Neurospora crassa OR74A: one gene and its partner. The protein of the gene in region 1 interacts with the protein of each later gene in a biochemical or structural test. Links are inferred from orthologs where the notes say so. Each region holds a gene or a part of one and is shown on either strand. Other genes may lie near its edges.

Evidence for each region. The genes of interacting proteins can lie anywhere in the genome.
Region 2: the proteins of pex14 (region 1) and pex7 form a complex in vitro, tested with the Saccharomyces cerevisiae proteins (2 studies listed by BioGRID). The link is inferred for Neurospora crassa OR74A from reciprocal best matches to the Saccharomyces cerevisiae genes PEX14 and PEX7.

What each region holds. Positions count from the first base shown.
Region 1 is NC_026506.1:2,098,178-2,101,985, forward strand, and holds pex14 (peroxisomal membrane anchor protein), read left to right. Parts: upstream 1-1,292; 5' UTR 1,293-1,706; coding exon 1,707-1,746; intron 1,747-1,826; coding exon 1,827-2,152; intron 2,153-2,208; coding exon 2,209-2,946; 3' UTR 2,947-3,308; downstream 3,309-3,808. Other genes in the region: NCU03899 (HEC/Ndc80p family protein), read right to left, coding at 1-530, 634-684. UniProt on the Saccharomyces cerevisiae protein: Component of the PEX13-PEX14 docking complex, a translocon channel that specifically mediates the import of peroxisomal cargo proteins bound to PEX5 or PEX21 receptors.
Region 2 is NC_026504.1:2,329,020-2,332,777, forward strand, and holds pex7 (peroxisome biogenesis factor 7), read left to right. Parts: upstream 1-1,199; 5' UTR 1,200-1,503; coding exon 1,504-1,902; intron 1,903-1,999; coding exon 2,000-2,695; 3' UTR 2,696-3,258; downstream 3,259-3,758. Other genes in the region: NCU07663 (GRF zinc finger domain-containing protein), read right to left, coding at 1-772; NCU07661 (hypothetical protein), read right to left, coding at 3,437-3,758. UniProt on the Saccharomyces cerevisiae protein: Receptor required for the peroxisomal import of proteins containing a C-terminal PTS2-type peroxisomal targeting signal, such as 3-oxoacyl-CoA thiolase. Specifically binds to cargo proteins containing a PTS2 peroxisomal targeting signal in the cytosol.

The DNA of each region.
Region 1 (3,808 bases):
GTCGGCGACTTTGTGAAGTTGTCGGACAGCTTGTGGTTCATCTCCATCTCGAAATTGTTCTTGGCGAGGTACTCGAGCAACTCCTGGCCAATGCGATTTTGGAATTGACGGTCTTTGAGGGGGCGCGGATCGCGAGGCACGCCGGCGGGCTGGGGCGCTTGCTGGAAGAAGCTCATATGCCCACCAGCTAAGGGACCTCCGCCGACGGCCGACGGTCGTGCGCTTGGGCGGTAGACGCTGCTTCGCCGGTCGAGTTCTTGCGATGATCGAGGAATACCGGAACTGCCTGGGGTGCCATAGGGCTTGAACTGCGACGTGTTCATGTTATGAACCGACGCGCGCTTTACCGAGCCCAGGCCAATGTCGGAGGATCGCTGGAACAGAGGTTGGCTCGGTCGCGGGAGGGCCAGAGATTGCCTCCCCGACAGAGAGCGACCATGGCCCGTTCCTATTGTGCCGATGGTGCTTTGTCGCTTAAGTGTGGAGGGTGGTGCCGGAATGCCCGACGTGAGGTTGACGCCATGGAGAGTCTACAGAGAGAGCAGAGTCAATATCGTGCATGGTCGCGTCGGATGGGGAGAGGTTTCGACCGAGGAAACACGCCGCAAAGAAAGTCACGGGGGGAAGTCGCACCTCCCTTGGCCGTCGAACACTCCAAAGGCCTGCGTTGCTGTCTTGCGACATGACGGCAAAGGCCTCGTCAATGTGCGCCTCCCTTTTGCCGTCCTAGTCGCGTGGTTTCCGTGATAATATATAAGCAAGCGAACAAAAGAGTGTTACACTACGTGCAACTGTGTCGGATCGATGTCGGCGATGATTCTCTTGGTGGTGATTATGTCGGATAGCTTTGTAGAGCTAAGGTATGCGCTCGAGTTAATGTGGGTACGTGTTCGCGGCTCTGACAGAAATCAATGCATAACCGCAGTCGCGGATTTCGTCGTGTCGTAGCGATAAAAGTACGTGTACGGCCAGCAACCTAATGCAGGCCAGCATAGGTATGTAGGTAGATTAAGACACCGTAGTGTAGACGGGACTAGGTTGTCGACTTCTGCGGATGGTGGGGGAGGTTGCTCCGTCAGGAAGAGTAAACAAAAGAAAGGCGACGTGGGTGGGGCTGTGGAAATCATTGGGCTGAACAGTGCCAAGTGCACTCCAGTTCTCGTCCCCAAGCATCGGGACGGCAGGTGAATGACGGGAGTGGGTCCAAAAGCGACCTTGAGGGTGAGTGTTGGCTCGCTTCAGGTCAGTGCTTTTTCAGCTCTGCACTCCCGTCTCTGAGCCAGTCACTGCATGGAATGGATGCTCAGCTGCGCTCTAGGCCTGTCGGAGGAAAAGGAGAGTCAGGGGAGGAGATAGTGATTTATCTGATCAGCATGCCTCCACGAGTGTGCTGGGGGTGCAAGTGATGCGAAGCTGTTAAGGTGCTATTAGCAGTCCACGTCTAGTGTACAATCAGGCCCCCGGTCCCGTGAACCTCGGCTTCAGGACTCCATCCAGCGGCCCAGCCATCCCCCGAACCGCTGCCAGTCAGTTCGTTTCCACTTCATCTATCGCATTCAGCCTCCCGTCCTTCGATAATCATTCCATCAACCGCCGCCGTCTGCCATCGCGTCGCGACTGTTTCAGCTGTCTGCTTCTTTCCTCTCGTCTGCCCAGTCTCAACAAGGGAACGCCATCTGCCGCATTTCGATCAAACAACATCAGTCATGGCCATCCGCGAGGACCTGGTCGCTTCGGCGGCGCAGTGTATGTTCTGCCCCTGTCTTGTCCCCTGCTACCTCCTCTACATTGCCAGGCCAGAATCTCACCCGACAACAACACCACAGTTCTTCAAGACCCCAGTGTCGCCGCCTCGCCAATCGAGAAGCGGATAGCCTTTCTCCAAGCAAAGAACCTCACCCAGGAAGAAGTCAGCGCTGCTCTCGCCCGCGCCGAATCAGGAGGTCCACCGCCACCGTACGCCCAGTCGCCCGCCTATGCGCAGTCGGCCGGACCCGTCGCAGCACAGGGTGGCTCTCCGCAGTACTATGGCTATCCCCCATACGCATGGCCGCAATCGAATACCGACGGTGTCAGGCGGGACTGGAGGGACCTGTTCATTTTGGCGACCGTAGTCGGAGGCGCGTCGTACGGCCTATACAATCTCGGCAAGGTAGGCCGCCGAACACCGTGCAATGTACATAAAAGGAAATTCTAACCGTTCGGCAGCGCTATGTGTATCCTTTGATTGCTCCTCCCACGCCGGAGCGTCTCGAGCAGGACAAGAAGTCCATCGACGAACAATTCGACAAAACATTCCAACTGGTTGAGCAGCTGGCCAAGGATACCGAAATCCTCAAGGCCTCGGAGCAGGAAAGGACAGAGAGACTCGACAATGCCCTCGAGGAGCTGGAGACTGTCGTCAGGGACCTCAAGGCAGCCAACAGACGCAGAGACGACGAAGCACAGAGAGTACGGGACGATGTGCAAAATCTCAGGGACTCGATTCCAAGGGCACTCAACAACCAGAAGGACTTGACCGACAACAGGCTGCGCGAACTCAATACCGAACTCAAGAGCCTCAAGACCCTCATCTCGCAACGCATGAACCCAACCGCCACCTCGACGAGCGTCAACAACTACCTTCGCCCCAATACTAACGGAAACGCCACTCCTTCTTCAGCCCCTGCCACGCCAGCCCTCGGCGGTGAGAACGGAGACTTAAACAGCAGAGCCGCGAGTGCGCAGGATGAGCAATCCAGATACCAGCAGGAACAGCAGTTCGCTCAACCTGCTGCCCCCAAGCCTTCGCCTTTCAGCAGCGGAATTGCCTCTGCAGGCAAGCCGACTATCCCTGCTTGGCAGTTGGCCATGGCCAACAAAACCGCGTCGGCTTCGACTGTCGGAGTCACGAACGGTACTACAAACGATGGCTCAAGCAGCAACGGAGGCGACGAAGCCGCTTAAAAAGCTGTTCTCCAGTCAGGCACAAAGATAAAATAGCACCGGAACTGGGAAACCTGGATACATTAATCGGCATGAGCATAAGGCCAAAGTGAGCGACTCCCTCTGGTTTTCTGTATAGTAATAAAGCTCCTGTACGTTGTTCAAGCAGGACAATACACAGGAGCACTTGTGAAGCATGGGACAACCTCATTCAGTCCCCTTTCCATGATAGCGCGTTTGTATTTCTGCAAGGTCTTTAAGCGCGGACGTTGCATGGCATTTTCCTAGAGCATGATATCAAAAGCTACCATTTTCACATCTTATAAGGTTAGGCCGTGAATTGATCTGAGACATCCCGTACACCTGACCGCCCAGTATTTCTGCCTCACTATTTTGACCGCTGCTATGGCATTGCCGAGACAAATTTTTGGTTATTGTCCTCAGCCACCCAAAAAAACTGGAGGGGAGGGGCAAAAAAAAAAAAAAGCCATGATCGAATAGAGATGCGCAAACGGTCAAAGAGGGACAACTGGCTTTGGTTATGTCGCCCTCTATTCAGGACTTTCAGCCACATCGGTACAGTCAGAACACCGCGGCCTCTGTAGAGAACTAAAGGATACATTGTAGTGTAGGTATTGATGTCGCTGCCAAATCATTACCTCAGCGTAGCATATGCGTACCCGAGAGGTCGGATGCGGAATATTCTCTGTTAAGACATCCCGGGTTCAAGGTACATACACCTTCGTGCCATGGTTCAGTTTCCAATCGCATCTAATAGTCCTCGTAGCTATTACTTGATCGGGCAATGCTTGCTTGGAACCAAACATTGACCCCACCCATCATCCCTTTCTTCCTGTGCCAATGTTCTCATAGCGCCTTCGTC
Region 2 (3,758 bases), on another chromosome or scaffold:
ACAGGTGATGAGTCCGGATGCGCTTCTGGATCTCGGTATTAACGGCGTCCTGCACCAACGGCCGCACTGTTTCCAGCTGAGGTGTCAGGCGGCGGATATCGGAGAGGCGCGCGCCGTTGTAGAAGTAGGCCGATTTTTGCTCGGCCAGCTCGTAATCGCTCCCGACAAAGAAGCAGGATGTGTGGGGGCTAGAGACTACGTTATCGAAGAGCTTGAACGTGGCTTTGCCGAAGGTCTTGGCTTCTTCCAAGAGTTCTACCAAGAGGCTGTTGGCGACCGAAGGGGGGAGGAAGTTGTGGATGACGGTGCAAGGGGTGTGGGTGCTGATGTCGGAGGGGTCGTAGAGATGGAGTGTTGCGCCTTTCCGGGAAAGGAGCTTGGGTTTCTTGGGGATAATACTAGCACCGCCATGGTCGCCATCGCCGGTGGTAGATGGAACGGCGAAAGAGCGTAAAGAAGCCTGTGAAATAATACCTGACGACTTCTTCTTGGCTATCTGCCCTGCGCCCTGGGCACTTTTCAAAGCCTCCGTGGTGGCTTCCACGGATCCATCGTGGGTGATTAGAAGATCCAGTAACGCATCATGACCGAAGTCTGGATGCAATGAAGCAAGTATGGCCAGTTTGATATCGGTTGATTCTCCATCGCCATCCGGAGTGTTGTCAATGGGATTATTGAAGGCGGTGATAGTCTGCTTTATTTGCGTGGTGTCCACGTTTTCCTCCAGCGTCAACTCGGCTTTCCTCTTCCCCCTCGTTATGAACCTGTCCATTGCCACGGCTTAGAGGAAGGAGTACAAAATCTCGACATGTTGGAGTGTCTGTTACCATGGCCGGGTTCACGCTGGTTAGATGCGCGTGGGATGAAAGATGAACATGGATTTGTATTTTCAGACGCGTCCTTGTTACGAAGAGGAAGGAGGGGGACGTGATTGAAAGTGGCCAAACACGCGCTGTCACGGGGACACGTCGGTACTTATTTCTAGTGTGCACTATATTTTACGTATCCTGGGGCGACGTCATGGGTAGGCGCTATCCCTTAGAGAGTTAGCGAGCACATCCATCCATGCTGTGGGGCTCACGCCGTTACGGCCCGGGGCTTCCACGCCCGCGGCAGGGGCAACGTGCCGACCAGATATGGATTGGATGCCAGGCGGGCTTCCGGGGTACCCCACTAATATCCAGATGTAAGCTGACAAGCCGAGGCTTTCCCCACGGCGTTGTCGCTGTTTGGCGTTCTTCAATTAGTTTCCAACCAGCTTTCCATCCCGTCACAGTAAGTTCTGCCAACACCTACACCCGACGCCCGTTTCAAACCCTACCGATACGTCCAAGCCGTCGCCGTCATTTCCAGGTGCAACGCCTCATCTCGCGACCGTCGCTGGCAGATTCATTAGGCTGTCAACCACTCACGTCGGCTAAGAGGTCGTGCGCCCATTGCAACGCCAACCTTTTTACAGAGACCTCCTGATGGGCAGCACATGACAAGCCCACGTTTCTCGACATGGCGTCCATGCTGGAATTTCGTACCCCGGGCTACAATCCTTACGCCGTCAAGTACTCCCCATACTACGACTCACGCCTTGCTGTCGCCACTGCCGCCAACTATGGCATCGTCGGCAACGGTCGCCTCTTCTGCCTGGGCCTGAGCGCAGCCGGCGTCCAGTGCGAAAAGACCTTTGAGACAAACGATGCCCAATACGATCTTGCCTGGTCGGAGCTCAACGAGAATCAGCTCATTGTCGCTTGCGGCGATGGCTCCATCAAGCTCTTCGACCTGGGGGTGGAGAACTTCCCTGTCATGAACTTTCACGAACACAAGCGGGAAACGTTTTCGGTTTGCTGGAATCCCGTCACCAAGGACAGCTTCATCTCGAGTTCCTGGGATGGCACCGTCAAAGTTGTATGTGCTCATCTCTTGTGTTCCTCCCACCCACCATCGTAGCATCATGGCCGATCGACTTGCGCGCTGGCTTACAATCCTCCTACTCTGTCTTCAGTGGTCTCCCACGCGCAACGCCTCCCTCAAGACCCTCCCCATTGGTTGCTGCACCTACAGCACCTCCTACTGCCCCTCGAACGCCGCCCTCGTCTCCGCCGTCTCCGCCGACTCTTCCCTGCGCATCTTCGACCTACGCACGCCCGTATCGGCCAAGTACCACCTGACCAACGTGATCCCCGTGCACGCGCCGGCCACGGGCGGGTCAGGTTACTCGCGCCTTGCCGACGGCTCCATCTACTCGGGCACGGTGCCGAACGAAGTCCTGACGCACGACTGGAACAAATATAACGACACGGTGATCGCCACGGCGGGCGTCGATCGCGTCATACGCACGTTTGATATCCGCAACCCGGCCGGCGGTCCCCTGGCGCTCATGACAGGCCACGAGTACGCGGTCCGCCGCGTTGCATGGAGCCCGCACGCCAGCGACATCTTGGTGAGCGCCAGCTACGACATGAGCGTGCGCGTGTGGACGGACGGATCCACTATGCCGCAGCACGTTCAGCCACCGGTACCGAGCGGGCGCCAGCCTGACACTGTCCGTGCGGGAACTCAGTTGGGCCTTATGAACAGGCATACTGAGTTTGTTACGGGCGTGGATTGGTGTTTGTTCGGTGCAGGCGGTTGGTGCGCGTCGGCCGGCTGGGACGAGAGAGTGCTACTCTGGGATGCTGCGTCCCTGTTGCGTGGATGAAGAAGCAGGTTGTTTGAAAGAGGTGGAAAAACGTATTTGAGTTGATTGGTCTTTGAGTGGATTGCTCAGGCAAATTTACGTGGCAAACTGCCTGATAGTAAAGGAGTAGAAGATATGAGGGCAAAATCAAGACCGATCGACTATCGGCTGCTGAGAATCATTGCATGCACAAAAGCGCCCCCTCAGTTGCGCAGCGATACCCCGGGGAGTTTGTACGTCTAGAAGCCGACATTATACGAACAGAACAGACATGGTGACAGCGGACAGGAGATTTGACCAAACGTGTTCCTTGGCTGGAGCTTACGAAAGTAGGAAATAAATCGGTACAGGAATTGGGTTAAATTGACCGTCCCGACGCGAGAGTCGGTCAGTACGAGAGAAGGGGCGGGAAAGAGACAGAACATAATTGTATAAGGCATCTAGAGGATTAGAAGAACAGTATACCATGATTCGAGATGATGGTAAGCTCAAATTTCTACCCTTAGTATCGCTATGCGTTGAGACGTGTGGTACCAGTGTATTAAAGGAATGCAGTCAACTTGAGTATACATATTTGTCCATGACTATCTCTCTTGAGTATTACCGATACAGCTGGTGTCTCACCATCCCAGTTTGTGCTGTAACATCCAATTTCTTCCATTTGGCTTGGATCTTCTCAATCTTATCTCTTGCACCCCTTCCACTTATAGAATTTCTCGAGGGGTTCCCCAATATGGCTACAGACTCAACATCCTCGGAAATTCACGTCCACTTTGGCTTTCCGCCTCCCTCCCTCCTAATCCCAATAGCCCTGATCAATGGTTCAAATAGTACCACGCCTACCACGCACAAGATCGAGTTCCACACCTGAATGGCATACCACACCCACGCTCCCGGACTCGAGAACACAAATTTGAGCCAGTCATTCACCTGGTAAAAGTCTTCCTGCTTGGTGATTAGGTACCGCTTGCTGTTGTTGCCTCCATTGAAACCGTCGACTAGAGTCTCTGCTTCCTCGCTTGCTCGAGCAGAAGCCACGGGGGCGTTCTCAACAGCAACAGGGTTGCTTGGGTTGGGCGGGTGA